Mus musculus: one gene and its partners. The protein of the gene in region 2 interacts with the protein of the main gene of each other region in a pairwise test. Links are inferred from orthologs where the notes say so. Each region holds a gene or a part of one and is shown on either strand. Other genes may lie near its edges. The genes, in order: Mat2b, Kpna3, Tssc4 and Ercc3.

Evidence for each region.
Region 1: the proteins of Kpna3 (region 2) and Mat2b interact in binary tests that used the Homo sapiens proteins (3 or more experiments, as listed by UniProt). The two-hybrid records come from large-scale screens. The link is inferred for Mus musculus from reciprocal best matches to the Homo sapiens genes KPNA3 and MAT2B.
Region 3: the proteins of Kpna3 (region 2) and Tssc4 interact in binary tests that used the Homo sapiens proteins (3 or more experiments, as listed by UniProt). The two-hybrid records come from large-scale screens. The link is inferred for Mus musculus from reciprocal best matches to the Homo sapiens genes KPNA3 and TSSC4.
Region 4: the proteins of Kpna3 (region 2) and Ercc3 interact in binary tests that used the Homo sapiens proteins (3 or more experiments, as listed by UniProt). The link is inferred for Mus musculus from reciprocal best matches to the Homo sapiens genes KPNA3 and ERCC3.

Annotation. Positions count from the first base shown.
Region 1 is NC_000077.6:40,688,144-40,695,963, forward strand, and holds the start of Mat2b (methionine adenosyltransferase 2 subunit beta), read right to left. Parts: upstream 4,540-7,820; 5' UTR 4,398-4,539; coding exon 4,335-4,397; intron 1-4,334.
Region 2 is NC_000080.6:61,382,293-61,389,456, forward strand, and holds part of Kpna3 (importin subunit alpha-4), read right to left. Parts: intron 5,218-7,164; coding exon 5,132-5,217; intron 2,898-5,131; coding exon 2,811-2,897; intron 2,466-2,810; coding exon 2,296-2,465; intron 988-2,295; coding exon 943-987; intron 1-942. UniProt on the Homo sapiens protein: Functions in nuclear protein import as an adapter protein for nuclear receptor KPNB1. Binds specifically and directly to substrates containing either a simple or bipartite NLS motif.
Region 3 is NC_000073.6:143,066,704-143,073,961, forward strand, and holds Tssc4 (protein TSSC4), read left to right. Parts: upstream 1-2,664; 5' UTR 2,665-2,810; exon of another isoform or gene 2,811-2,931; coding exon of another isoform or gene 2,932-3,117; 5' UTR 3,118-3,147; intron 3,148-3,232; coding exon of another isoform or gene 3,233-3,253; coding exon 3,254-4,207; 3' UTR 4,208-4,384; downstream 4,385-7,258. Other genes in the region: CD81 antigen, read left to right, coding at 1-59, 444-530, 609-671; Trpm5 (transient receptor potential cation channel subfamily M member 5), read right to left, coding at 5,645-5,733, 6,028-6,094, 6,459-6,531. UniProt on the Homo sapiens protein: Protein associated with the U5 snRNP, during its maturation and its post-splicing recycling and which is required for spliceosomal tri-snRNP complex assembly in the nucleus.
Region 4 is NC_000084.6:32,236,469-32,244,313, reverse strand, and holds the start of Ercc3 (general transcription and DNA repair factor IIH helicase subunit XPB), read right to left. Parts: upstream 3,988-7,845; 5' UTR 3,921-3,987; coding exon 3,893-3,920; intron 3,685-3,892; coding exon 3,479-3,684; intron 1,351-3,478; coding exon 1,114-1,350; intron 1-1,113. UniProt on the Homo sapiens protein: ATP-dependent 3'-5' DNA helicase/translocase. Binds dsDNA rather than ssDNA, unzipping it in a translocase rather than classical helicase activity. Component of the general transcription and DNA repair factor IIH (TFIIH) core complex.

The DNA of each region.
Region 1 (7,820 bases), on a different chromosome or scaffold from region 2:
ACTGACAATCAGCCTCCTCGAGACAAGGAAGACTTGTTTATGAGCACACCGTTTTTGTAGAAGACAAACATTGGATGGCTTACAATTATCCATTACTGCAGATCTGATTGCCCTCTTCTGGTCATACGTGTGTGTGTGTGTGTGTGTGTGTGTGTGTGTGTGAGAGAGAGAGGGGGGGGGAGGGAGGGAGGGAGAGGGAGAGAGGGAGAGAGGGAGAGAGAGAGAGAGAGAGAGAGAGAGAGAGAATGAATGGGTAGAAGAGATGGCAGACCTGGGTTTGATTCCCAGCATTCAAATGGCAGCTAACATCTGTCCTTAGCTCCCGTTTCAGAGGATCTGATGCCCTCTTCTGGCTTCTGTGGGTACCAGGCGTGCACATGGTTATGGTACACATACATACACTCATGTACATAAAGTAAGTTTACTTTTTTTAGATGAGTAAGAATAAAGTTTTAGTAATCAAGAAAAAGAACCTGAGATCACTAACAACTTCCCCATTTGATTTAGATTTCATATTAACAATGGAAGTTACTTTCTTTATGATGGATGAAGTGATCATATCACCCCATAATTAGTCAACAGGCGTTTCACATCTTCTAAGATATTCTGAAAATGCACAAGGCTCAGATGAGTCACATTTTGACAGGACTGAAAATCGGTCAGGGCTGGAGAAATGGCTCAGCTGCTAAGAGCACTGACTACTCTTCCAAAGGTCCTGAGTTCAATTCCCAGCAAACACATGGTGGCTCACAACCATCTGTAATGGGTTCTGACACCCTCTTCTGGTTTGTCTGAAGTCAGCTATAATTGTACTCATACATAAAATAAATAAATAAATCTTTAAAAAAAAGAAAATTGGTCGACATTTCATAGGAGTTTATTTGGAATAAAGTCAACTAATATGTCCCTCGGTCAGCACTAAATTTACTTACACAAAATACTTATGACTAACAGATACAGATAGAAAAAAAAACTGAAAAAACATTTGTGTTCACAGTAAAAATTTAAAATTACTGCTTAAAGAATATTTTGATTTTTGTATACTCAAGGCAAAGTTCCAAAAATTGAGTAACACTTTCCTGCCAAATTCTTAAGTAAAGCCAACTTTTCCTTTTTAAAAATAATGTTTTCAGCCAGCAGAGAGTCACACACCTGTAGCCAAAGCATGAGCTCTGGGGCTCAAACTTTCATTAGATTTTATCACAAGGTCCTATTTCTGTTAAAGTCACATAATTCTGAGTTGGAAAAAAAAAGTGTGCACACACACATATATACAGGCAATATCCAAAGACATTTTCGGGTAAATGATTTAGTAAACATACATACTTTAATTAAGGACCCCCAAATCAGCTGTTTCTAGCATTTAACAAAAGCTGAAATCCAAAGGGCAGGGATGGGGGAGGGCAGCATAGAAAAAAAAATCTATTAAGGATTTTAATTCAATGAATTTCAAAACATTTTTAAAAAAACATTAATGAGACTTCATGTGGTGTCCTTTATAACACTTGGCTCTAAGCCAGGCAATTTATGAAAATGAAGACTTGATCCGGCAAAATGTTTTCTTCGAACTTTGGCAAGAAAATAACTCTCCAAAGGCTTAACTCTAAACCAGGTGCAGTGATGACCTCAGTGAACAGGAGGGTGCCAGCAGCCTGAGCATAGCCTGCTCTACGGAGGGGATTCCAGGCCAGTGCGGCCCACTAGGCAAGACCCTGTCTCAAAAACTATACTTGTACACGTACACACACACACACACACACACACACCACACACACAGCTGAAATAAACGGGGTCAAAGCATGCTAAGTCTAGTATAGATTCACAACACTGTACATGTAACAAATACCATGAAGAGGTCTGGGAAAACACCATAAAGGAAAACAGATGGGGCTGGAGAGCGTGGTTTGAGTCCCAACACCTACACGGCAGGTATCAACAATATGTGTGACTCCAGTTCCTTGGGGAGCCAACATCCTCTGTGGACCTCAAAGGGTACTGCATGCATGTGGTGAACAAACATACAGGCCAAACACCCACACACATAACATTTAAAAACCTAAAAAAAAAAAAAAAAAAAAAAAAGTTGCTCTTGCAGAGGACTGGCATTGGGTCCTCAGAGTCCATCCTGGGCAGCTCACACCTCCCTGTAACTCCAGCTCTACTGGAATGGACACCTTCTATTGGCCCTAGTAGGTATCAGACACATGGTACACGGCTATACACTTAGCAATCATGCATAATTGAAAAAAAAAATCATCTGATGCAGGAGGGTCTCAATGAATTCAAGACCAGCCCTGATCTGTCTGGGAAAACAAATACAAAACAACCAGAAAGTTTCACATTCACTTTCAACACTTTCAAGTTTTCACATTCACTCTCTACCTCTCTAACATCCTTGGACACCCTTGGGATTTAAGAAACAAGATATCTAGATTGCTTAATAGGAATGGAATTCAGAGGGGAACAGCTCAACTCCCTGTACGTACACACAGGCAGTGTTCTTAACAGGAATTGGTATCAGGCTGCCTCACTAACATTAACTATGCCAAGTCTCAGCTGGCAACAAGAGTGAATGTCAGTTGCACAGGTTGAGAGAGCAACACCAGCATGCAGATTCCAGCTGTCTGCACCTTCTGCCTGTTATCTGCTTTTATGAAACAGGGTCTCACTATGTAACCTTGGCTTGCCTGATAATCATTCCTGCCTCAGCTTTTAGAGTGATGGGACTGAAGTATAAGCCGCCACGCTCAGCTACTGTACCATTTTTTTTTTTAATGAAAAAGGTTGCTGGGTGTGGTGGCATCATCAATCCCAGCCCACTGGAGGTGGAGCCACGCAGATCTCCGGGGATTTGAGGACAGCCATGAATACACAGTGAGACTGTTTAAAACAAACAAACAAATGCAACAACAGAAAGAAAAAACAAACAAACAAACAAAAAACCACCCTAAAAAGCAATCACATCTCCTCACCACTACAAACTTCCTGAGTACTGAGATTACAGACATGAGTTAGCACACTCAGTTTACCACTCTCTACTTTTCTTTTACTGAACTGGGGAAATGCATTAAGCCTACACGAATACATGCTCATACGCACACACCTTTGGTCACATGCCGTCACCAGTCTGGAACTGCAAATACATTCGAACTTTGGCTAAGGCCCAGCCATTTGGAGATAATATTGAATGTGCATCACGCAAATGTAAAAATTTCCCATTATCAACTGGTTGTGGTGGCTCAGATCTTCAATCCCAGCACTCCTCGAGGCAGAAGCATCTGAGTCCAAGGCCAGCCTGGACAACACATACTGAGTTCTAGTTTGGGTTTCTATTGCTGTGTGAAAACATCAAAGCATTGTTTGGCAGGAGGTACTTAGCTTACCATTTCCACATCACTGTTCGCCCCTGAAGGAAGTTAGGACAAGACCCTGGAGGCAGGAGCTCACACAGGCCTTGTGAAAACTGCTTAATTCCTCAGCCAGCTTTCCTAAACAACTCAGGACTATAACAGCCCAGGGGCTCCGTCCTCCCAAGTCAATCGCCAATTAAGAAAAGGCGCTACAGGTTCACCTAATAATAGCCTAATCTTATGGCGGTATACTCTTAACAAGAATCCCTCATCTCAATAGGGACTCCCTTATCTCTAGTAACTCTAGCAAGCACAGGACCCTCCCCCAAATTAAAAGTTTGCATTAAAAAAAAAAAAAAAACTGGCCACATCCTAGGCGTTTTTATATCAGCAAGACACATTAGTTCATCGACTGTGCTGGATACATTCTGTAGGTCAGTAAGTACTTAACGGGCTTGAAACACGGGACCGTGGACCAGACTTGGAAACATGCTGGGGGAAGTTTACCAGACATGCAATTTCTTTCAGCAGTCTTCCACCACGCAAAATACAGCGGTTCAGAAAACGTAGAAGCTAAAAGCCCAACACTGGAATTCCTGCTCAAACCTTCCTGAATAAACTCGAGGCGGTGCCCGTCTGCCTACCAGGGAGCCTGAGCGTTCACAGCACCGCACAGTCGGAAATCCTGACAGCCTTAAAAGTGCCTCAAGGAACCCGCCCCGTGCAAACTATGAATTCACCAAGTTGACCCCGCCGACACCGCCATTTATGGAAAGTCACTCTCCCCCTGTCCTTAAAGATCCAGGAACACAAAACAAAGATGATGACTACTGAAACGGGAGCCAGCCCGCGGGAGGCGGCGGGAGGCACCGGGAGTCTCCACCTCCGCGCTCCCCGGGCTGCAGCGGGCGTGAGCGCAGCCCTACAGGGAGAGAGGTAAACAAACTCAAAGGCGCCACCCCGGCTCCATGCCCCGAAGCTCACCTCCACCAGCTGGCAGCAGCCGGGGACGAAGTGGATGGAGAGCTCCTTCTCCCGGCCCACCATGCCCGCAGTCTTTGCGCCGCTTCAGTCGCGACCGCAAGCTCCACTAGCGCAGCACTGCCAGGGGCCGCAGCGCCCGCGCCCTTGGCCCTCCTCCCCTAGGCCCAGGCCGACCCCGGCTGCCGCTTCCGGCTTCCGCCGCCCTGGCCGCGCCTGTTGATTGGCCGCCTCTCGCCACGCGTTCAAAAAGGGGCGGAACCTCAAGGGACGCTGTCAGCCCATGTGCCAGTTCTTAAGGAGATAGAGCGTTAGAACGCAGGCACTGGTGCCAAGCGATGGATGCAGGCTTCCTTGGGTTTAAGAGTGTTGGCTTTTTTGTTTGTTTTTTTAAAATCTCTCCTACTTATTCCTTCTTAGTGAAGGGTAAGGAATCGATTCGCCTAGGTTTGCAGACTGCGAAATGCCTAGGAGTCAACCAAGCATGTATTATAGAAAATAGACTAAAACATCTGTAAAGTTAGGAGGCAAGAAGGTAAGGGTTGTCCCGTGAACACAGAGCTAAGGCTGGACTGAGTTGGTTTTAGGCAGTCCGAACCTCAGGCTGGCCTTGGGCTCAGAGAAAGACCTGCAATTTCTGATCCTCTCTAGTTTCCTTGTCCAAAGGCATCAAAGGGTTACAGGAGTGAACAACCAACCTAGGCAAGGTGCGGTTCGTCCTTTAAGGCAAGAAGAAAGAATAAAAATAGGACTGTGCTCAGAGTCATTAACATCCCTGAAAGCTATGTTTTTCTGGAATGCTAAAAAAAAAATGCTGTGAAGTTTGAAAACTGTTTATTTTTAGCTAATTAAAAATAAAAAGGTGTGGGAGAGAATGTTACTTTCTAAAAGGCAGGTTCTTCGTATTTCCCCCCCCGCAGAACCACAGGAGAAACTCAACTGTGCTAACAAGCCCAGTCAACTTTTAAGTAGATTTAACAGGCGTCCTGGCTGCCCTTTGGAGGCTTCACTTAGGGGACGACGACGCCCGGGGCTGCTGGAGCCAAGCCAAGGAGGAGCTGCTAAGACTTAAAATGAGGGAGCCAAGGAAGGGCGGAATGCCAGGCGCTCCTTCCAGCCCTGTGTGGTTGTTCAAAAGTTAATCAGAAACAACAGCTCGCAGGGTCTGACTCAGCTCTCAACTGTAACCTGCAGGTTACAAGCTCCGAAGCACAGCAACAGGCAAGCCAGTGAAATTTACCCTGAAAAAAAGCCCGGGCACACTTTTTCTCCGCCCACTCTCTACCCAACAATCTATTCCCATCCAGACACCCACGATAAGGGATTTCAAAACTCGCCCCAAAACGTGACCACTGCCTGAATTACCCCCAAAGGCCTCATTTTCAGAATCCTTTTGGTTTATTTTTAGACTAAGGATTAAGCTGCCCCTTGGGAAAAGTTTTCCTCAGTCAGGTGATAGTTTTTCTCCCACCCCCCCACCCCACCCCCCCCCACTAAAGAATTTATTCCCTCACTCTTTGGAAGAGCAAACAAAGGCAGCCTAAGGCTCCCTACTTTTCGAATTTTTTTTTTATAATCCGGGTCTTATGGTTATTAAAAGGGCTAGCTATCCCAACACTAAATTATAATAATAATTAGAAGTCCGAGGGAGGGACAAATCCAAGATCCCTCATCCTAATTAAAAGTGAGAATATTTCAAGTTTCTGGTTGATGTGTGTGTAGTTTGCTTCCTAGAGGGGATCATAAAATGTACTCAATAGGAAGACTCAAAATTTTCCACAATTAGTGTGATTCTCAGAGCAACCTTGTGAAGAGAGTGAGAAAATGTTTGCTTGCCTATATATAAGAGTACGGTTTGACACAAGTCAGGCAAAAGTTGGGTATAGCTTATTTAATAAGAAAAGGCTCTGTTTACAGCCAATGTCTGACTTCCGATGGGGGTTGGGGAGTCACGTCTCAAAGAGTGCAAACTGGAACTGAAAGTCCCATTAGCAGATTCAAGCTCCACAAGACAAAAGACAAAAGACAAAAAACCTGGGCATGCACCACGGGTTAAATCTTGCACTACACAGAGCCTTCACTACAGTTGCACTCAATGTGGAGAATGAAATTATCGTTCTGCTTCACGTCTTATTTATTAAACTGGGCTTGATTTCCTGGGTCAGAAACCCTAGATAGTTTATTCTGTGTACCAAGCTTACGTTTCTTAAGGAAATAAATGGTACCGGCTAGCATTTTATTTACACCCTTTCTGCTCGTAGCAGCGGTTTGGAATCGATTTTAGCGCATCGCCGAGCCGCCACCGAGTCTTGAATTGCTAGCTCTTACCTGTTCCATGGCCTCCGGCATTTCAGGCATGATTCCAGAACTATTTTGGGGAAACGCAGCGAGAGGGATCTGGGCGTCTGGCTCCTCTGGCCCGGTCTTTGTTCGCTCCGCCCGCACGGAGCACACGGACGCCAAAAACGTGAGGCGCAGCTCCGCTTGACCTTTTAAATTAGCATTTCCATTCCAACCCTGGAATCTCGTGCAGCTTTCCACAGTGCAGTAAGCTAGCAGCTGATTCCTCCTGCTAGTTTTGAAACTACCCAATGAGAAGTTTCATGCTTAACTGCAAGTCAAGGGAGGACCCATTACTGAAATCCATATGGCAGAACTAAAAACAAACAAGCAAGCAAACAAACAAACCCCTGCAATTCCCTGGTAGAACTTGTTGACTTTGTCTCTTGTAGAAAGACAAGAATGAGCCAACGGTTGGGAAGTACAAGCAATTGATTCCTGTTGTGAAATATTCCACACGTTTCACACATTACGGTAACGGAAACTTGAGTTAAAAACTCCCCCCCCCCATTCCTTTTTTTTAACTTAATGATTCCAAATGCCAATTTAAAAACTCTAGGGGTGGCCCAGCGTGGTGGCGCACGCCTTTAATCCCAGCACTCGGGAGGCAGAGGCAGGCAGATTTCTGAGTTCGAGGCCAGCCTGGTCTACAAAGTGAGCTCCAGGACAGCCAGGGCTATACAGAGAAACCCTGTCTTGAAAAACCAAAAAAAAAAAAAAAAAATCCAAAAAAACAAACAAACAAACAAATAAAGTACATATTTTAACAATTAGTCAAGCCGGGAGTGGTGGCGCACGCCTTTAATCCCAGCACTTGGGAGGCAGAGGCAGGCGGATTTCTGGGTTGGAGGCCAGCCTAGCCTGGTCTACAAAGTGAGTTCCAGGACAGCCAGGGCTATCCAGAAAAACCCTGTCTCAAAAAAAATAAAAATAAAAAAATAAAATAAATAAATAAATAAAATACAGACTGAAAAAATAATTTGAATACATATACCTAAAGAGAACATACTCAGAATATTTAAAGAACTGTAGGTCAGTAATTTGAATGGTAATAAGCTTTGCTTCTAGGGAAGAAAGTGCCTCTACAGCCACTTGCTCTCCTACCTTCAAGAAATGAAGCAAGCTCAGACTCACGTCTTTTGCACCTGG
Region 2 (7,164 bases):
GACATTTTTCATTTAATATTATAAGACTGTAGATGACTATAAGTGACTGAAACTTGTTGGGGCTGGTCTTGTGTGCTATGTATTCATATACTGATCAGGCTGTAATCTGGACATGGGCATTGCACTGACCAAAGTGCTGTAAAAGAATGCCCCACAATGAGGCTAGAGAGATGGCTCAGGAGTTAAGAGCACTGACTGCTCTTCCAGAGGTCCCGAGTTCAATTTCCAGCAACCACATGGTGGCTCACAACCATCTGTAATGGGATCCAGTGCCCTCTTCTGCTGTGTCTGAACACTGGTATAGTGTACTCACACATTAAAAAAAATGTTCCCCTCATTTGTTAATAATATGCTTGAGCCTGAGCCTGGACAGAAAAGAGAGGAAGGTGAGACTTGAGATTGAGTAAGGGAACTCAGGTAGGGGCCACAAGGAAAAGGAACAAAAAGCACATAGCCAAGAGAAGTTTGCCCTGAGGAAAGAGAACTATAGCAGAAGGTGCCCAGCAGACACTCATGTGATAAGAAACAGGGCATTCAGGTGGGTCTGAAAAATATGCAAGGACTGGTATAGCTCAGAATCTGCCCAGATCTATCATCTTCTTGGGAGCAGAATAGGCAAAAGTGGGGCAGAGAAAACCCTCAAAAAATTACTTCAATAGAAATTTGAGAAAGTAAGATCACAGAGAAACTGCTGTCTTTAATCAATCCAAGGATCAAGAAATCAGCATCTCTACTGACAAAAAGATTAACCAGAAATTACATCAATCTGATTTAAATTTACTCTTATTCTCCAATCCCGCCTCCCTGCACGCGCGCGAGCACACACACACACACACACACACACACACTCAGACAAAGAGAAAATATACCCTAGCACTCATTTTAAAAAACCCGTGCGATCGCATCAAGAGTCAACTCCCACACTGACACCACTTTACTCACATTTATGTCCGTATGGTAGATGAGCACACACAAAGCTGGCAAAATCTGAGGAAAGAAGATGAACACTAGAGTTGATGACATGTCATTGTAAACACAAACTATGACACAGAAAGAATTACTTAAAACACAAGGTGGTGGCGCACGCCTTTAATCCCAGCACTCGGGAGGCAGAGGCAGGCGGATTTCTGAGTTCGAGGCCAGCCTGGTCTACAAAGTGAGTTCCAGGACAGCCAGGACTACACAGAGAAACCCTGTCTCGAAAAACAAAACAAAACAAAACAAAACAAAACAAAACAAAAAACCCACAATGTGAACATGTCTGAATACTTTTAAGAAGCATAAAAATTAATAAACTCAATCTGAAAAACCAAAAAGCATATTTCAAATGTCTAATTAAAAGAGCTAAATAAATCTGACAGGGACTAATACTCCTTAAGAGAAATTAAATTACTTCCAGAAACATCCTTTATGACATAATGTCGGGTAAGGAGAATGGAGATGCCAGCGACAAGCACACATTTTGGATAGTTCAGAGAAATTACTATTCAGAGTTATCATCATCTAAATTTGTATTCAATAAGCTGCTTGAGTGAAATAGCTTTAGTCAAGAAAATTACAACCAGTACAAGGTAACAGGCTTGTTGACCCTCAGACCTAACAGACCTTCCACAAATATACAGCAAATGAGAAATGCCTCCTAGGGACTCATATGATCAGTATGGTAACAAAAGGTGCAAACACTGGATCAGGACACAGATTTACTCACTCTAGATACAAATAAAGAAAGGGTTTACAGGATTTTTAAAAATTTAACATATACCACATTTCCAAGAACACCAATTTTGTCAGAAATCAATGGGCTGAATGCAGTCACTCAAATTATTTGCATATTTCTTAGCAAAAGAAATCTATAAGGCAGTATCACAAAACTGGCTTCTTCCCTTTTATGGAATTTTTTCTCTTCATGAAACATCATTAAAAATAAGCATTAGAATGGACAGACATTCCTTTTATTACTGAACAACACTCAACTTTGACATATGGTGTGTTATACTTCAAAACAGAAGTACCTTCATAAACAAAATCAGAATATGTTCATTATATTCCCTGTACAAGAATACTTAAAGCAGCTGGGCAGTGGTGGTGCACGCCTTTAGTCCCAGTACTTGGGAGGCAGAGGCAGGCGGATTTCTGAGTTCGAGGCCAGCCTGGTCTACAGATTGAGTTTCAGGACAGCCAGGGCTACACAGAGAAACCTTGTCTCGAACCCACCCCACCCCGTATCCCCCCAAAAAGAATACCTAAAGCATAAACAGGGAAACAAACCATCTCGCCTTACAATTCTGCATTTACCTCCTGAACTGTCTCCATAGGCGGTGGGGGGTCTTTATTCCTGCAGAGATTGACAATGACCCATGTGACGTTCCGAAGGAAGGTGATGGGAATGGAGGGATTGATGAAGGACAGAAGAGGTTTGACAACTCCCAGTGATATGACATAATCTCTACATTGAGGACCATCACCTACAGAAATGAAAATTGTATTTAAAAAAAAATCACAGTCAGGATGAGAAAGTCTGAAATGTGTGCAATGGCTCATGTTGGGACACTGATGCCCTATGTTTCCTCACCAGGCAAACATCAAGCGTTGCCACCCATGATTTTGATTTGGGGAACACAAATTTAACCACTATTGACACAAATGATATATCCTTTTGTGCCTTTTACACTTAAGTGCTATCTTAGAAGTTTATGAACACAGTCAACTCATATAAAATGCAGAGGAAACATAGTGTGTAATGGCTATGCCAATGTGGGAAAAAAGTTAAGATTGTCAACTAAAGCCTTTCAAACCTAAATTCAACTTACCTATAATGTTTCCCAAAGCCCACACCGCTTGTTCACAAACATTCTGATGTGGGGAATGGAGGAGTCGCAGAAAAAGTGGTACTGCATCTGTGTGTATGTAAGGAAGACTAGGTTATCTAATGTATCTACAAATTCCAACTCAAGTAAACTAATAAAATACTCAAGAGTCAGATACACACTACAATTGCCCAATTACAGTTCCCTGCACAAATTTGGCATGGATATGTAAAAAATAAGTAGTATCAGTACTTTTAACTTGGTAATACTTGAGCAATATAGCATCAAACAGAACCTAAGCATGCTACTATGCCATTAACATAAGAAAAAAAAAACATAAAATCTTCCCTATAATTGATTTTTAAGAAGTTCTTATCCCAAACATGTATTCTTAAAGAATAATACTTACTTTCAATGTAATTCTAATGCCTAAGACAGGGTTAACCAGAACCAATTAAATCAGATTACCAAACAATTCAAAGCAATTGTATTTAGTATTCTATCTTTATTTTTTTATATGTATGGGTGTTTTGCCTACATGTGTATGTCTGTGCACCACAAGTGCCTGTGGAGGCCAGAAGAGGGTGTCTAGTTTCCTAAAACTACAGTTAGAGATGGCCTCGAGCTACATGTGTATACTGGGAATGGAACTGGTGTCTCCCGGAAAAGCAGCCTTAACTGTGGAGCCATCTCTCTAGCCTCTAACTTTGTTACACTGTTATACCTTATACCCCCCTTCAGCATAAGTTCACTTTTTCTTAAGCTTCTACTCTGTGTTAGCTCTTGATTATTTAGCTTTACCTGTATACTAGATACTTAACTTCGTCTTTTTATTACAAGTAATTCATACTTTACCAGAATGTATCACTGTAAGTCTCGACAGTCACTGTTAACACTCCAGCTTTCCATGGTCATCAACTGCAAAGAGCTCCCCTATCTCTAGTAATCAGCATCCATTTACTCTTCTGTTATTCAGTTCCCCAAACCCAGGCTATCATTAAAAAGCTTGCCTTTCCTATGCATGGACTTGTCTAGTCTGGACATTTCAGCGAAATGAAATCCTACTGCATGTGATTTTTTTTTTTTAAATATCTGTCTTCCTTCACTTTCGTAACTTTCAAGTTCATCTATTTCACAGGTATTATTGCTTTATTCTTCTAGATTGTTAAATAATAATTCAGTTCCATACATTTACTGACCCATTAATAGTGAACTTCTGAGAAACTGACTGAATGCTCTATGAACATCTTACACACGCTTTCTCTCCCACTTCATCTAGGAGCAGAACTGGAGACACAGGGTCCACTCCAGCAAAACTTTTTAAAAAACTAATTTTCAAGGCATTATTTTCATCACTGATAAATTCAGTTTAAAATGGAAACAATGAAAATAAAGTGATATATATATAGTTAACTTTACCTCCTAATTTCTATTAAAAACATGCTCACACCGGGCGTGGTGGCGCACCCCTTTAATCCCAGCACTTGGGAGGCAGAGGCAGGTGGATTTCTGAGTTCGAGGCCAGCCTGGTCTACAGAGTGAGTTCCAAGACAGCAAGGGCTACACAGAGAAACCCTGTCTCGAAAAACAAAACAAAACAAAACAAAACAAAACAAAACAAAACAAAAAAAATGTTCATTACTACAACACCAAGTTGGAAAAGTTTTTAAGAGCTGTAATAACTTCAGCCACAAAATTATAATAACTTACTTGAAATAAGCAAGATGCGGGGCACACACCTTTAATCCCAGCACTTAGAAGGCAGAGGCAGGCTGATCTCTGTGCGTTTAAGGCCAGACTGGTTTATATAACAAGTTTCAGATCAGCCAAGGCTTAAAAGTAAGGACTGAGGCAGGTGTAAATCACACCTGTATGGCCAGCACTCAGGATGCTGAAGCAGGAATACCCTGAGTTTATGGTCAGGTTGCAACTACACAGAAAGCTAGCTCTAAGACCAGATCTGGTTACACAGCAAGACCTTCCCCCACCCCACCCCACCCCCACCACCAAGCCCTACTGCAAAACAACTATATGTTGTAACATGAAAGGCCTAGCCTACTCAGCATACTTAAAAAGTGTTAAAAACAAGGTATTTCAAGTCCTATTACTAGGATATAGTCTCTACCCAGAAACATAAAAAGTCTATTCTCTTTTTTGTTCCAAAATTACAATTATTTTGTAACAGTTTAATAATATGGAAAAGATTTTAAAAAATCATTAAAGTAACACAAAAATTTATACTCACTTCAAAATATTCTAAGGTAAAATTCAGTTTTTGGTATAAAAGCTATTTCAATCATTTTTAAGAAAAAGACTTGACTTACTAGACTGTACAACAGCTTGAGTCTGTGCAGAAGTTCCCGATGCTATATTAGTTAGTGCCCAAGCAGCTTCAAACTGTAATGAAGGACTGTTAAAGAAAGAAAAAAGAAGAAAAAAGAAAATCTTTTCAGACATGAAACCACCACTGTACTTCCTTTCTTGGTCCTTGGATTTCACTTTGCTATCTATACCCACCACCAGCTGCACGCATCTACCCCATCTGACTGCTCCTCAAAGCCAGTCACTACAACTGCCTTCTTTACATCCACTGAGAGGTGCAGCAATAAGACAAACACACCTCTGGACTTGTCATTGCCCATAGACCTCTACTGAACAAATGATGGCTTATGTTCTGAATATTCCTTCCACTTCCACCGTAACCCACTATAACTGTATCGCCAAAGCCCTTACAATCTCACTTTAATCCCAGCTACAGACTCCAGACTAGTCTTAAAACTGGGACCCACCAGAGTTCACTACACCATCTGGGCTATATATTACAGGCCTGCATAATTCCTCAGATAAAGCATTATAATTTGAGTCAGTCATGGAAGATCTAACACAAAAAAGTAAAAAGCAAATTTAATTTGCTTTCCTAAATTGGATTTTAAAAGGCAGGCCCTGGCAATCTACATTAAATCTATCAGAGGTGGAATGATGTATGTACAGTAAGACACAGAATAAGAAAGTTAAGGGTGGACAGAATGAAACTGTGCACGTAAGTGCTGGAGGGCAGATGCACAGTCTATCTCAAACTCTAAGCTGCAGACCTTAGAATTTATTCTATTGAGAAGGGGAGTAAAGCCAGGTGTAATAACATACTTTTAACCCCAGCATTTGGCAGGTGGATCTTTATGAGGTGGAGGCTAGCTTAGTCTACAATAGTGAATTCTAGGTCAGCCAGGGATATACAGTAAGAACCCTGTCTCCAGAAAAGAGGGGGTGGGAGGTGGGGTAGAACAAAAGAGAAAAATAGACAAACAGAAAAAAGGAAAAATAATGGAAAAAAAAGGGGGTAAAATTCTTTGATACAAAGAAAGCAAAGGATGGCCTGAACAACAGAGCAAATTCAGAGTGGTCCACCCAGGTCAATGAGTAGGCCCACATCGCAAAAGCAAAAGCAATGGCAGGAGATAGAGTCCAGTGTGGACTACCTGCCCATCCTGTATGAGGACCCAGTAGTGGGGTGGGAAGGTAGGGTTTGCAGTCAAGAGTCAGTGGCATGTAAAATGGATAAAAGGGTTGTTACAGACTGGTATAGGAGAGACCTATTAAAGAGAAATAACACAGAGAGATGGAAGAATATAATAACAGAAAGAGCAATGGAGGAGGGAGGCAGACAGCCAGCAAAAAAACTAAAGTGAGCTGAAAACCAGGGAATAAGAAAAATCTGTCTATATAAACATTGAAGAAAGTAAGGGAAACAAATGATCAGCTATAGCAGCAGTGTAGATGGGAAGTGCACATTCCACATCAGAAAGAGTAAACAGAAAATGGAATAGACAAGAGCTGTCACCATCAATTCTGACAGAAGGCAGGGAATGGAAGATATGAAAGGCAGACTGGTGGCTAGGGACATTAAAAGGATGGTGAGATAGGAAGTGACAGATGATATGTACCACCACAAACTGGAAGTCGGAAGTGTAAATAAGCAGTTAAGGAGTGTTTACAGAATACTGGAAATGGGGGCCATGGACAGGAAAATGGGAAGATACGAAAAATAAAATTGCAGGACCAAGGTAAGTCTTTCAAAAGTCATGTGAAAAAAGAACAAGTAAGATATAAAAACAGCTGAAGAAGCAAATAAACACAGAATATTTTGTACAAACAATGTACATTTCCTCACAACCACCTAATTTTTACAGATGAATGTCTGAGGCTCAAACAACAGTTGTGTTCTGGTCAATACCAAGTCTAGATTAGACCAGGGTCTATACAGCTCTAAGTCTAACGTGATCTGTTACACAGTTAACATAGCTTTCCAAGAGAAATCACGAAGCTGTTACCTAAAGTACTGGCAATTTTCTATTCATAC
Region 3 (7,258 bases), on a different chromosome or scaffold from region 2:
CCATACTGAGGAACAGCCTGTGTCCCTCAGGCGGCAACATACTCACCCCCTTACTGCAGGTAGCATGGAGTGGGGATGAGGTGGTGGTGGTGGTCGGTAGGGTGGTGTGGCCAATCAGGAAGATCAGCACTTTGAGCAAGACCTCAGAAGTCCCATAGACCATCTCTATTACTGGGGTACCGGGTCCTCACAGCTTGAGTTAACCCCTGCAACATCCCAGAAAACTGTTCTCTTGAGTGGTCCCTCATACCCTGGTGACCCTAGGGTGCTAGTGAGGTAAAAAAACACTCCCCTGTGACAAAAGGCTGCAGGCAGCAGGTCCGTGTGTCTTAAATTTGTTTTGGGGTGGAAGATAAGCTGTGATACATAGGTCCTGTCACTGAGTAGGGTGGTGGCTGTGACTTAGCCACTGATGGTTAACCACGCTCTTGCCATCCCTGCAGCAAGATTGTCATCAGAAAATCGATGAGCTCTTCTCTGGGAAGCTGTACCTCATTGGAATTGCAGCCATTGTGGTAGCTGTCATTATGGTAAGCACAGGGTCTCTGGTGGGTGGGTGGGATCCTTCCCAGGGCCTTAGGTGCTGACTATGCCCCTCCCTCCTGCAGATCTTTGAGATGATTCTGAGCATGGTGCTGTGCTGTGGCATCCGGAACAGCTCCGTGTACTGAGGCCCTTTGCATTGCACCAGAGGATCCCTGGAGTGACCAGAGGCCACCTTGGGGGACATGGCCTGTGTATATAATATTTCTGTATCACTCTGCTACACTTAGTCTTTTTACTTTTGAGTTTTTTGTTTTGTTTTGTTTTGTTTTTGTTTTAGTTTTTTTTTTTGTCCTGAACTTTTCCTGTTACCTTTTGGGAGCTGACATCACACATGGGTGGCATATGTGGGATGTAGGGGTGGAGCTGGCCCTGGCTTGCAGGGCCCTGTACGTCTGGGACCCCTGGAGAGTTCTGCCTGCTGAGCCAAACCTCCTCTACAGCTACTTGCCCAGAGGCTTTGTAGCCTAGCTAGAGGGCCATGCCCACCCACTCAACCCACTGTGGGTCACATTGCTCACATCTTTTTAATCTTTGTTCCTTTCCTGCCTCCATTTCAAGAGCTGGGTTTGTAAGCCCTCTTATGCCTTCAATGCACTTATTCTTTCTAACGTGTCACCTTCAACTGTAATTAAATCTTGAAACAGTCATTTAATAAAGGAGGAAAAAAATCAGGCATGCTAATGGGACTGCCAGACCTCTTCCTGTGCTAGCGGTGTCAGAGACCTGGCTCATCAGCTCTGAACTTTGCCAGGCACAGGGTGAGCAGGTCCAATAGAGGCTGTGGAACACAGTGGGTGGGGAGGGCTGGGACCCTGGGAGCACTCCATATGGGTCCTCCCTCATTTGTACCTCCTTATACTGGGAGCTCAATGCTGACTTTACGCCAGCCTTGACCTCATTTCCACTCATCTGTTGGACATGACAGGTCAGGCTGAGTCGGGTAGGAGGAGCCACCTAAGCAGGGAAATTCAGCACAGAATGATGGAGATAAGCTGCAAGAACACCCTCCTTTTCAGGGACAAGACAGTAAAGGTTAGCCCATTACCCCATCCATCTCAAGAAAAGATTCCACGGAGCTGGGTGGCTCTGGCTTGTGTCTCAATAAGTAAAAGGCAAGATGGCAGTTCACTTACCCCTGTGAACTGAGGATCAGGCTAAGCAACCTCCCGGACGCCAGGGGCAACCACCACTGTCTCTTTCCCTTTGTCTCCTGTCTGCGCCCCTCCCCCAGGCTGCTGGCATAGTTAATTGGCCACTAGAGGAGAGACGCCCTAGCCAAGATTCATGGCCCAGCTTCTAGCAGCCTCCCAGTAGGCTTATTTGTCGGTGAACCCCAAGCTTGTACTAGGACATTCTAGGTCTCCGCCACCTCTACCTCCCACGCCTATGCAACCTGTTCCGTGCTTGGTTGGTTTCTGGTCTGAGGAGCCCTTTATATCCTATGTTATGAGGTCCATGGGCACCAGGCCAAAGCTGTTGGAGGCCTGCTGCACAGCTTCAGAAACATAGGAAAGGAGAGGCGCATGCAGCAGCCCCATGGTGTCTCAGACTCTGATCCCTAAGGATACAAGAAAACAGCCCCACGCCTGGAGGAGGATTATGTGTGGCCTTGACTAGTAGGGGCGGCGTCCTGCAACTAAAGTGTCCGTTCCTGCGTCAGGAAGCACAGACAGGCAGAGCCCAGGATAGCGGCTTCGAATCTCTGAAGCCCCAACCAACCCACCCCAGGGACCACTACGTCTCTTCATGCCAAGAGCCAACCAGGACCTTGGCCCCGCCTCACTCCAGAAAGCCAACAAAGCACAAGACCCACACCACTTCCGCCCAGGGCCGGAAATGTCTAGGAAACTGGTTGGCGCTCACAGTGCGTGGTGACGCACTTCCTCCTTGTGTCGGACCCGGCCGGGACGGCTTCCGACAGGCGAAGCTGCAGGCCTCAACCCTTTGCGATTGGCAGTTAGCCCTGGAGTATTGTGGGAACCGTGGCTCCGCCTTTTCCTTTTTCGTCATTTCTGGGTGGGTTTCCGTGTGCGCTCCGGGTTGGCACGCTTGTTAAGGTTACAAGTCCCGGCTGACATTAGGCGGGAACCCATTGCCTTCTGGGAGTTGTAGTTTCTCGGGCGCTGAAGCCACGAAAATCTGATCGCCCGAGACTCGGTTTCCCAGGAACCCGAGCGAGACTGGACAGGACCGAATCCCGGGGAACTGGCGGGACGCTGCGAGAAAGGCGGCAGGGTATTGAGGCGTGTACGGACGCTGGAACGGTGAGCACTGGCCTCCCTAAGGCCGCGGCCAGGGCATTCCCGTGCCTGTTTCTGCCAGCCCTTCGTCCGGACCCGGGTGGCGCTTGTACCTAGAGAGGCTGCGCTTTACTGAGAGCCCGTGATGGGACAAGCAGCTGATGGAGATCTCCTGTCACCAGCATCTCCCAGTGCTCATCTATTGTATGTCCACACTGTTATGATCTCATGGTTGACTCTCTCCTTAACCCCACCTAACCTGCAGCTCCTGTATCTGTGCGCGCTAGGATACCCTTTAACCACCCAGCTTCGCGAGGCCTCCCGTCCGGCTGTGAGTAGAGGCACTTGACACATAGTGGAGGTGAAAGACGGGAGCCTGGGAGGACGGGGAGGGATGAGGCCTTAAATACACCCCTCACGGCGGAACTGGGACTGCTTCGCTACAGGTGGGACGGGTGTCAGGTCGTATGGCGGAGACAGAGGCTGGCCTGGAGGCTGATGAACCCACCGAGGATGACACCCTGCCTTCTGACACCGTCTCCCTCAGCGACTCGGACTCGGACCTTAGCTTACCTAGTGGTGTGGAGGTCCAAGTGTTGTCCCCAGAGAGGCTTTCGGAGGAGGGCCAGGAGGACTCCGGCCCTGAGGACCCTCCATCGCCCCCCACGGGCACCCTCACCACTGCAGTGCAGCCATTCCACCTCCGAGGCATGAGTTCTACCTTCTCCCAGCGCAGCCACAGCATCTTTGATTGTCTGGAGAGTGCAGCCCGGCAGGCACCGTGCTCTGCTCCCCAAACCAGTGTGAGTGACAATGGCAGCTTCAGGCGGCCCGTGACTCCCCCAAGTCAGACTCCAGCAAGGGGCCTGAGCAGAGTGCATGGGAACACTGGCCCGACTAGGGTACTCCCAGTCCCTGACTATGTGTCACACCCTGAGCGTTGGACCAAATACAGTCTGGAGGATGTGTCTGAAGCCAGTGAGCAGAGCAATCGTGATGCTGCCCTGGCCTTCCTGAGCTCTCGAAGCCAGGTGTCCCACACAGACTATGTGCCTTCTTTCAACCAGGACCCCTCTAGCTGTGGGGAGGGAAGAGTGGTCTTCACCAAACCAGTGAGGGACAGTGAGGCTAGGGCTGAGAGGAAGAGGGTCCTAAAGAAGGGGGTTGGGTCAGGTGCGGGGGGTGAGGCCGCTGTGGAGCTAGCCCATCTCGCTGGACCTGAGGCTGAGGAATGGAGTGGCCACCAGGGACAGCCAGAGGTGGTGGTACCTTCAGAAGCTGCCCATCCTGAGTCCTCATCAGGCCCCATAGGTGTGAAGGCTGTTGGTTTCCATGGCAGCAAGAAGCGGAGCAGAGACCACTTCCGGAACAGGGACGGTAACCCTGGGGGGCCGGGGTCTGAGAGAGGACCCTCAGTTTGACTGCAGTGCTATCACTCTACCCCTCACCTGCTAGTCCAAGTGGGAAGGTGTGGGCTGTCTGTGGTAGGGGGATGTGTGCAGCCGCTCTGGCAGAGACTGTGGGAATTGTGGGTCAGGGGACCTCGAAGGCCTTTGTGCCCCAGTGTTTAGGATGAATAATAAACGTTTGGAATATTTCTTGAATTGTGTGGCTTTTTCCGGGCCCCACTCAAAGAGTTCTGTCCAAACAGTCCTGGGCAGCCAACTACAGGACTGCATCTCTGGCAGCCTCACCTTGCCTTCCCCACTCCAGTGAGGACTGCCGTGAAGGTTTGCCATGGTCATTTACATTTGTCACTGATGAAACTACCCAGAGGGACTGGGCTCTTAGCTGTGTTCAGCCTTGTGCCCCTGATGGTAGTGAATGAGCATAATCTGCACAACCCACCCCCACCCCCACCCCCAGAAACCAATGCAGCCCCAGCACTGGGCCTGTACAGACCACAGGTTATAGGAAGAGGATGAGTTGTGAAGCAGCATATGGTTGGTGTCTGGCTGTGTCTCCAGGACTTGTGTGTGTAAGACACAGCTGATGCTGGGTCATTCCACTGAAGCTGAGCCAGAGAAGAAGAGAAGGATGCAGGGAGGATGCATGAGCGAATGTTTCCTGTGGAGGCCAGGGACTTGGACCAAGTTAGCTAGACCTGCTAAGACCCAGGTCTGCCCCAGCCTCTGTAGTCCCCATTCTCTGAGTTCCTCTAAAAAGGACCTGGATGGTCATTTAATTTGAGGAGCAGTGGAAGGAACGGAGATGCCTTTCACTAGGTCAGACAATCCTCCATATTCCCCGGGTGTTTGAAATGTCCCGTTTAGCCACCATTGTGGCCCAGTTTAGCTGATTTGAGGTGGTCTACAGGCTTTATAGAAAGTAAAGTAGCATTGGGTACCCTTGAGCAATATCTTGGGGTTTCTGCCAGAATGATCAGACAGATAATGCTGTGGGGGGTGAAAGATGGGAGGTAATTACAATAGATCTGAGTCCTGCCCTCTAGGAGCTGGTCAGCTAATGAGTGGGTCAGGGGTCAGAAAGAAACCTAGTGTTTAAGAGGTTGGCTTCTTAGGAACTCAGGGTAAGACAGGGGTTAGACCTAAATAGCCCCATCCAGGCAGATGGTGTCCTATGTAGGACTTGGCCAGATCCAGCTGTCCAGTCCAAGCCAGTGAAAGCTTTAGTGGGACATGAAAAATCTTGCCCTGCTGGAGAGGATACTTCTGAGGCTCCCGAATAGATGCCAAAGACATGAGTTTCATTCTCTTAGGAAGGGATGTCCAAGAAGTGATCTGTAGCAAGGCCTTGAAGACCATTTCTTGGGGCTGCTGGGAGTGGGGGAAGGTTGATGTGCCCCAAAAACTCGATGTGGCCAGGTCTGGGGCTCTAGAGCAAGTGGTTTCTCCATTTCAGGTGTCAGAGGGTGGCAAGCCAGACTCTAGGTACTCCCTGTCTCTAGCAGAGGCTGGCTGACTCCTGCAACCACAGTTCTGAGAGCCTGGGAGCAAGAAAGGGAGAAAGGACCCTCAGCTGGAGAGCCTCAGCTGGGGCAGGGCAGGAGTGAGGCAAGGGCCAGGACATGGAAAGTGGCAAGGCTAGCAAGGCCAGTGCTAGGCAGAGCCTTGGGACACTAAGGAACAGTGGCCTGCCGAGGGTAACCGACCTCTAGCACAGGTGGAGAAGGCAGGACCTAATACAATACACAGCCCGCAGCTTTGCTCTTGCCCTAATCTAGTGGCTGAAGGGAGGAGCCCATACCCATCTCATTCCCATGGCCTGAACCCATACTTACTTGAGTAGGTGCCTCCTGGAGCCAGTGTATCCGTCATAGAGGACAAGAGGAGCATACAGTAGTTGGCCTGGAGAGAGCCAAGGGAGGTACTGAGACTTCGGTGGGGACTGGGGGGACCGGGTTGGTTTCCTCCCATGTGATTGCCCTCCTGCCAGGGCTACTGCTGCCCTGGGACTCCACACTCTGGACCAGGTCCTCCCATAGTGCATGATAAGGGATAGTGACCGGATGTGGTGCTGAACCTAGGTTTTGTTGGACCAGCTCTAGAACAACAATGAGTCTCGAAAGTGAGTTGGGGCAGGGGCAGGCCACTCTATCCAGGCCCTAATGCTACCCACCAGGATGCTGGTACAGGGCTGTGGTAGTTCCCATGGAACCAGAAGGATGCCCCCACCCCAGGAAGAAAGATGGATAGTGAGTTGCTAGCTTGCCTGTGATTCCAGACACTTGATCCTCTTTTCTTGCTCTCTCAGCCCCCCGATGTATTTGGCAATCAAGTCCACTCTGTAGAAAGCAGGGTCAGCCTCAGTTGTGACACTTCCATGTCACTCCACAAGGGGGAGCTTTTTGTCCTAACTGCTTTCTCAGGGCCTCAGTTAACTGTTGGCCTCTTGCTTTACTGCCCTTCCAGTCTTTATCTGGGGCCTGTCTATGGATATGGAGCACTGCTGTACCCTCAAAGAGATTGAGATCCCCTCCCTGCTTGGAATAGGCCACCAAGCAATAGGATGAACACTAGGTCATCCCTATAAGCATTCAAGAACAGCCCCTCCACCATCTAGCACCAACTGGGCGTGGATCTTCAGACCTGAGAGAGGAGGAAAAGAGTCCCATTGGAGAGAGATGCCTAATTATGGACTTATGCTCTCAACCCACACATATACACACACTCCTAGGGCAAGAGGGCTGGGTCTTGTGACCCAGCCATGTTTCCCCAGCTCAGAGGTCCTGTTATTGGCACTAGATGGTCTCACCCAGCCTTAAGGTGGTTCAGAAAACCCCACCTATTACTGAAAAGGCTAGATATCCCCCCATTTCCACATGTTCACAATGGGGAGCCCCTCCTAGACTTACTGCCCCTCATAACACCCAGCTGATCAAGGTCAGCCCAGCCCTGCTGCATCTGAGTTTACCTCCCTCCTGTCAGAGCCCTTTCTACATCTCTGGGCAGCTCATGAACAGGAATGACACCTGCCAGCCTGAGCCTCATATGCCTGCTGTCCCACAGGCT
Region 4 (7,845 bases), on a different chromosome or scaffold from region 2:
CACCACCACCTCTATTTTTAAGTTTTGAGACAAGTTAGAAATTAACCTTACAATCCTCCTCCCTAGACATCTGGCACTAAGGGGCGCGTGCCACCTTGCCAGCACAGTGTAAGCCTCTGAGGGACAGGGAATAGAGTTTAAGTCCCCAATCTGCTGGAAGGGAGCAGGTCGTTTGTGTGTTCGCCATAACTTGCTACTGAGATTGTGAGCTGCCCCTCAGAGCACAACAGCACTGCCCCAGCACGACTACCGTCCTTTAGACCATGTAGACCAAAGGCCTAGCCCTGGTGCTTTCTTCGTCAGCATCCTTCTGCATCACAGAACAGAGAACTCTGTCGTGCTCCCAGGCTTCTGCTCATGGCACACTCTTCTGCTTCCAGACTGAAATCTAATTTGAAGTCCTTTCAGATTAGCCAATACTAACAAAAACTGTTCTCCTATCTTCTGTGAATAATATACACCTATATTCAACTGCTGTTCCCATGAAACCCTCTTCAGGTCAACATTTCAAGTTTTGTCTTACCCTAATACACTTAATTTACCATGGATCTTAAGTATTTACCTTACATGGAGCTCACTTCCTGTAACAGCTAACCACCAAAAAAACTCCACAACAAAAGCTTATGTTCTCAGAGTTCTAACTACTCAGGATCAATGGACCAGGACCAGCTAATTCAGGCTGTGGTAAGGTCTCCTGGCTAGAAGAGAGTCACCTTCTCTCTACACAGTCCCATAAAGAAGGGACTTATGACAACTGTATAATTCCTAATAAAGACAAGCACCTTCTGAATGGGGAGACATTTATGACCTCATTTAGTCTTACTAACACACAGGTATTTGGGGTTAGGATTCTGATATGTACATGCAGGCTATAGTTCCATCTATCCAGAGCTGGATTCTCAAGTAACCCTGGCCATAGTGGACCTGAACTTCTACTCCCATGGCTTGGAGCAGCCCACAAAACACATGATCTCAGCCAGAACCATGGCTGGATCTAAAGTGGCAGCAGCTAGGCACGAAGCTATTTTGCTATCAAAGGAAACACAAATCAGACATTTCAATGACAACATATAGTAAGTACGCACCTGAGCACAAGAGTTGCTAGTAACTCACCTTAATAAACTGGATAATTCCATCAGGAACTCCAGTCTTACTGAGCTTTCTGAGGTACTCAGTAATGTCACTGGTTTGCAGCCCAACACTGACCGCTGCATAGAGGGAGTAGGCGGTTAGCTTGTATTCATGTACATGAGTAGGCCGGCACACCGGCTCTGCAATTGCCACCAGGAAGTCTTGGGCATATTTGTAAACTGGAGAGAAGGCTTCCAAGAAAATGTGGCCATCAGGAGCCTAAAAGGCATCAAGGGAACACAACAGGCAAGAATATCAATGAGCTGCAGAGACTATGTCACAGGATTTCTGATCACACTGCGAACCTGAGACTGTGTTATTTACTAAAAAAAAAAAAAGGAAAGGAAAGGAAAGGAAAGGAAAGGAAAGGAAAGGAAAGAAAAGAAAAGAAAAGAAAAGAAAAGAAAAGAAAAGAAAAGAAAAGAAAAAACCTTCTCCTAGTTGTATGGCTCAGCCTTCAGCACACACCTTTAATCCCTCTGGCCAGAATACAGGCATGCCTTTAGTTCACACCTTTAATCCCAAACAATAGAGGTAAAGTTAGTTTGCAGAAGGAAGTACCCATGTTTGAAAGTGATGTTTAACTGAGTGGCAGAAAAAGTGACAAATCAGAGAGACTTGATAGGAAAGGATACGCCCAACTCTCAAAGGTGAGAGAGGAAAGGGAAGCTACTTAAGGGAGAGACAGGCAGTACAGGAGGAGAGAGTCCAGTACAGCATACAGCGGAGTTCATGGAGAGCAGTACAGTAGAGTTGAGAGTGGAGCAGCACAAAGAGGGAGAAGGAGGCAGTTTTACTGGGACAGTTATAGAGAGAGTGCAAGCTAGATACAGTGAGAACAGAACAAGTCAGAGAATGAGAAGGAGCCAGAAGATTAGAAGAGATTCCTAAAGTTAATATGAAGCCAAGCAGTGCAATTCAGGAAAAGCCAAGAGAGAAGCCAGATTGAAGCAGTCAGCTTGAAGAGGAGTCTGAGCCAGAGCAGCTGAGTTAAACTGGCCAGTCAGAGCTCACAAAGAACTAGAAAGGGCGAGCTTATTCAGCTTCAAGTCTCAGAGGAGGGAAAACATTCCAGGCCTAGGTTAGATTACACAGAGACTAGAAGCTTCCAGGACTAGGCCTAGGTTAGCAGACAGGCGCAGTAAGCCTCCAGACAACAATTATGTCAGGTGAATAAGGTGACTCTTACACCACTAGACTGTCACATCACTATCAAGAAGGGTGAGTGTCCAATGGGAAGGATATTCTTGCAATCAATCCTTCAGGAAACTGCAGGGACCCTGCTCCTATAATTAGAGAAGAGTAGGCAGAAAAGGTTCCCAATGTTCCATATATGGAAATCTTCCAACATACTATTCTCAAAAGGCCTTTTGGCTAGAATGCAAATTGAGTACAGATCATGATGTATTTTAAGCCAAGGAAACTTAGCTACCAAAACATTATCTACCATCAATTTGAAAAGAACCTAAGAGATGGATCAGTGGTTAAGAGCACTGGCTGCTCCTGCAGAACACACAGGTTCCATTTCCAGCACCCACATCAGACAGCTCATAACAGCCTGTCATTCCAGGCTTGGGGGATCTTACGCCCTCTTCGGGCCTCCTCTGGAAACAAGTATACACACACACATACATATAAAATGTTAAAAATCTTTTTTAAGAAGTGTAAATCAATTGTCATCTAAAACAACTATTTAGTGGCTGGGGAGCTACCTTGGTGTATAAAGTGCTCGCTCGCATGAGGACCTCAGTTGCGATCTCCAGCACTTAAGTATAAAACCAGGAATGCATGCCTACAACCACAGAGCTGTGATGGCTGGAGATAGGTGGGTGGGCGGGCAGGCAGATTAAGTTGGGGTGGGAGGTGGGGGGCATCGCTGGCCAGTAAGTTTAGCCAAAACAGGGAGCTGGGCAGATATGTGAAGAGTGACTGGGAAAAGCATCTCACATCAGTCTCTGGGCTCTGTAAACAATCCCTGCACGTCTCTCTGCACAGGGTATGCACATATACCACCCAAACAGATAAATGTCATTTACTGACTGTATGTGGGGTATGTGCGTGTATGTGAGTGCATGCATGTCACCGCTCTAAAGTGACTTGCCAGAGTCGGGCCTCTCCTCCTCCTATGACAGCAAGAGCCTTTACCTCCTGAGTTATCTGGCTTGTCATCATATGGGGGGCTGGGGTGAAGTGGAGAACACCAGATCACACCAGCTACTCCAGTGTGCCCCATGACAGCCGTCTCTCCCGGCTGCTTCAGAAAGAGCAGCATTTCTCACGTTTGAATTTTGGAGGTGTAAGAATGTCCAAGATTTAGCTGCCGCGCAGGCTTTTTGGCCATGCTTACCACCCAGAGGGGCCTGGAGGTATGGTCACCCTTTAGTGGCATCTGCTGTCTGTAGTCCTTTGCTCCATACTCATCCACTTTGGTGCTGGACTCGTCCACCTGTTTCCCAGCGGCGGAGGGCACCGCCTCCTGAGACTCGTTCCCAGGAATGTCGTCTTCGTCTTCCTCTTCCTCTTCATACTGCCTCTTCTTGGATTTCTTTTTGTCTGCGACCGAAGACACAGAAGTGAGCCCAGCAGGATTCTAGGGTTCCTTTTTCACCACCCAAGGAGACTTCTGGCAAGAACTCCTAAACCAGCGCCACCCGCATACCGGCGTCCGGCAAACGCCTCCCACCCGGCTAAGTTCCGCATCTCCCGGACACAACAGGCCAGAGAAAACCCCACGACAATGACAGTTACAAGTAGTGCTTACCGCGGTCCACTCGATCTCTTTTGCCCATAACAGCTCTAGATGCAGGCAGGCCGGCACACCGCACCACCTCCTCTCCGCAGGAGTTACTTGCTAATGAACTTCCGGTACATACCGGAAATACAGCACCAGACGGTCGGAAGTCCCGCCTCTGAAGTCTTAAACCGGAAGAGCGGAACCACAGGGCCGACCGGAGGCGAGCTGCGCTTGCCTGGAGTGTTTACTTTCCGCTCTACGATTTGTTTTGAGCCTTACGTACTTCTAGGAGCCTTGAGCTTATTTGCCCTATAGATCGGGCGGGACGGAGATCTGCTTCCACCTACGGAGTGCTTTGTTTTGGTTTTTGAGGCCACTGCTTAGATCGCTAAGGAAGGTCGGACCTGGGTGGTTCCCTCAGGCTCCCGGGAGCTGGGATTACAGGCGTGTTCCACCACGCCGGGTTTCTGGAAACGAAATTCCGAACGAGAGAGGTGGGAAATACACATCGTTCTGACGTAAATAAAAATGGGCAGGTGGCTCATTTGGTAGAATTTTTGCCTATGTCGGAACCAAAGAATAATCTTGGTGTCTCACCAAGGATAGCATGAAGAGTACCTCAGCAAGGCAATTCTTTTTGGAAGAGAGTGTAGCAGAACCCAAAGGGACTAACACTACATCAGAACAGGCAGTTGATGTAGTTTTTAATTTGTTAGTGACTTTTCCCCATTGGCTAGGGTCAAACCTCACAGCCTTCCAGATCTTTGGTTTGTTGTGGGTGTTTTGTTTGTTTGTGTTTTCTTTTCTGAGACAGGGTTTCTCTGTATAGTCCCGGCTGTTCTGTATCTCGTTCTGTAGATCAGGCTGACCTCGAACTTGAGATCTGCCTGCCTCTGCCTCTCGAGGGCTGGGGTAAAAGGCGTGCACCACCACGCCCCTCCCTGCTGTTGTCCAATTTTAAAAGAAGGCAAAGGAAAGAGAGTCCACTGCTTTGAGCCTTCAAATTCTGGACAGCTGGCTGCGGGGGTGTGTGTGTACATGTGCAAAACAATTTTTCCCCTCATATCTAGCAGGTTCTAGCCACAGAACTACATAAACCAAGTGTGGTAGATCATGTCTAATTGCATCACCTGAAATCAAGAAATAATGTTACACGTTTTCAAAAAAAAAAAACCAAAACCAAAAACAGTAGTAGAGTGATCTTGGAATAGGTCTAAGTAAAAGAAATGAAGATAGTTTCATTCTGTGTTTATTTTAATGAGAAATGGATAGGATTTGCCAACTGGGATAATACGGGATTTGGGGAGGAAGAAAGAGTTAACACCCAAGATTTTTGGTTTCAGCAACTCATAAAATGATGTACCTTAGGCAGAGTTCATATTTGGAGCAAATCAGATGTAACTGGCAGTTACAAAGCCTGCTTGCTGTTCTATAATAAAATGTCCCAGGTGGCATGATTTAAACAGCAAAACTTAGATAAGAAATTAGAAGGGTAAGAGAAAGGGACCAGAAAAGAGGCAGAAGGGAAGACAATAACAAGTATGCCATATGTATGAAAATGTTATGACGACACCCTTTCCGCTAACAAAAAAAAGCAGATGAGCAATATGAAATTGGATTTTTTTTAAGAGCTGGGAAGATAACTTAGTGGGTTAATGTACTTGCTGCACAAACATGAAGACTTAATTTTGGGTCCCTAGAGCCCACACAAGCCAAGCAGGCATGGCATTACACAGCTGTGATCCCAGCACTGAGGGGCAGAGAAGAATCCTTGAGGCTCACTGACCAGCCAGTCTAAGCCATGAGCTTTAGACTTAAGAAATCCTGTTGCAAAACTAGTAAGGAGAAGTGGAGCTGGGGATATGGCTCAGTGAGAAAGAACTAAGAGTTTAAAGCCAGGGCTGGGCTGGGCTGGGGCCAGAGCGATAGCTCAGTACCTAAGAGCACCCGTTGCTCTTCAAGAAGTGGCTGCTTGGCTTCCCAGCTCCCACAAACAAATTCAGTTCTATGGGATCCAACGATTTCTTCTGACCTTTACAGGCATCAGTCACACATGGGGGACATGCATTCAGCAAAGCACTCAACTCACATAAGTAAGTCTTGACAAGAATTAAAAAACAAAAACCGCAAGGTCCCTGGAGCAAGCCAAATCACTGGGCTCTGGATTCAAGTGAGAAATCCTGCCTCAATATAGTTGGAGAACAAATGAAAAAGGCACGTGGACACACACCAAAATAAATGAGGAAAACGATAAGACAACCGACATCACCCTCTTATATCAGTGGGTGTACATATGCATGAAGCAAGCAAGCATGGAGGAGTGAAAGTCAGCTGTCTGGATTTGTGAACTCACTTTCCTTTGTTTATATTGCTACTGAGTCTGTATTGAAAAGGGATCTAGTGTCTATGAGTGGCCCCTTCTTTGTACCTCCACTTTGCACTTGAGGAACCTCTTCTGGCAACACCCAGCTTTGGGTTGTATGGGCTAGGCAGGTTCTCACACTCTGGAGACTTCCCAGATCATACCTCCTAGCCTAGATGGTTTAGCTGGGGGCAGGTGTTACCTTACGTTCATTGGGAGTATGGAAGAGTACATCACTGAGGTCAATCCAGATGGAGAACCTGTCTCCATACTTTCAAAGCCTCTATAGTAGTATTAATCATGCTGCTGGAGGTTTGCACACGTAGCTATCAAATTCATCCCGGAAACTTCAGAGGTCTTGGCCTCTAGCACACAGAACCATAGGTAGCTTTCAGAATTTGATTCTACAAACTGGCTTCAGGGTCAGTTATCAAAACAGGATTACGGTCAGTTGAGATCTGTTCTCAATCACCAAGGACAAGGCTGTCTCTCCCTATGCACTTCCCCATCCTGGTCAGCCTCCTGCTACGTGCACTCTTCAGTTTATCAGTATCCAGCCACAGTGCTCACAACTGCCTCTCTGAACCCTCCCTTATGGAGGGACTGTGCTAAGCATATGGCCCCTATGGAACCTGGAGCTTTAACAATGGATTCCCTCTCAAAATAGTATCCAGTCACATACATGTGACAAATGGGAATTCTCTCCTCTGCTGGCCCATCTGCCAGAGGAATCACTGTCTTGCCAGACCCCACAATTAGGTTTGCGGCTCATGAGGGCTAGGGCTGCCCTAAGAATAGGACTGCCCGGTTTTCGGCTAGCTTGTCTTTTGAAGTGGTATCTGAATCCCCTTCCCCCATCAGGCTACTGTATATCTAAGACTGTCTCCAGGTTGTTTCTATCAGGTTGTGCCTGCTTTGGCTCTTTACAAAGCATTCCATTTCTCTCCTTGAAAGAAAATAATTTTCTAATTCCGAATCTCTTTCACTGGATGTCTTGGACTGTTTTTGTTGTTTTAATCTCTTAGTGCGCATGCGCAGTCAGAGGACATGTTCAGGATGGGTTCTCTTCCTCCATCACAGGTTCTGAGGACTGCATTCAGGTTCCCATGCTTGTTGGGCAAGCAGTTTACCCAATCGGGTGCTGGTTTTTAATCACTACAACATTCAATCTGAGCCATCATCATGTCTACACAGAGATCCATAAAACAGGCTTTGTGGGCATTACAGGCTTAGACAACAAAGATTGCTAGGGAACTGTGCTAGGTGTTCCAAAGAGCAAACAAGAGGGGACTTCTGTAAACACACTATGTCAAAGACCATATCCATACACACAAATCACAGTGGGAATAAATACCAGCTTTATTAACACTCCAATTACCATTCATTTATGTCCATTCCACAGTTCAGAGGGTTACTGAGAGTAACCCTCTGCACCACAGTCTGTCGGAAGATGACTAGGAACGAAGTATGTCTCACTGTACTGAATATCGCAGGCCTTCATGCATGACAAATCTAAATAAAGATGTGTCAATAATTCACAAATTGCCATATAACAAAGTCATCATTGCTAACAAAATATAAACATGGTTTCTTTTATATTAAAAAATTTAAAAGCTAT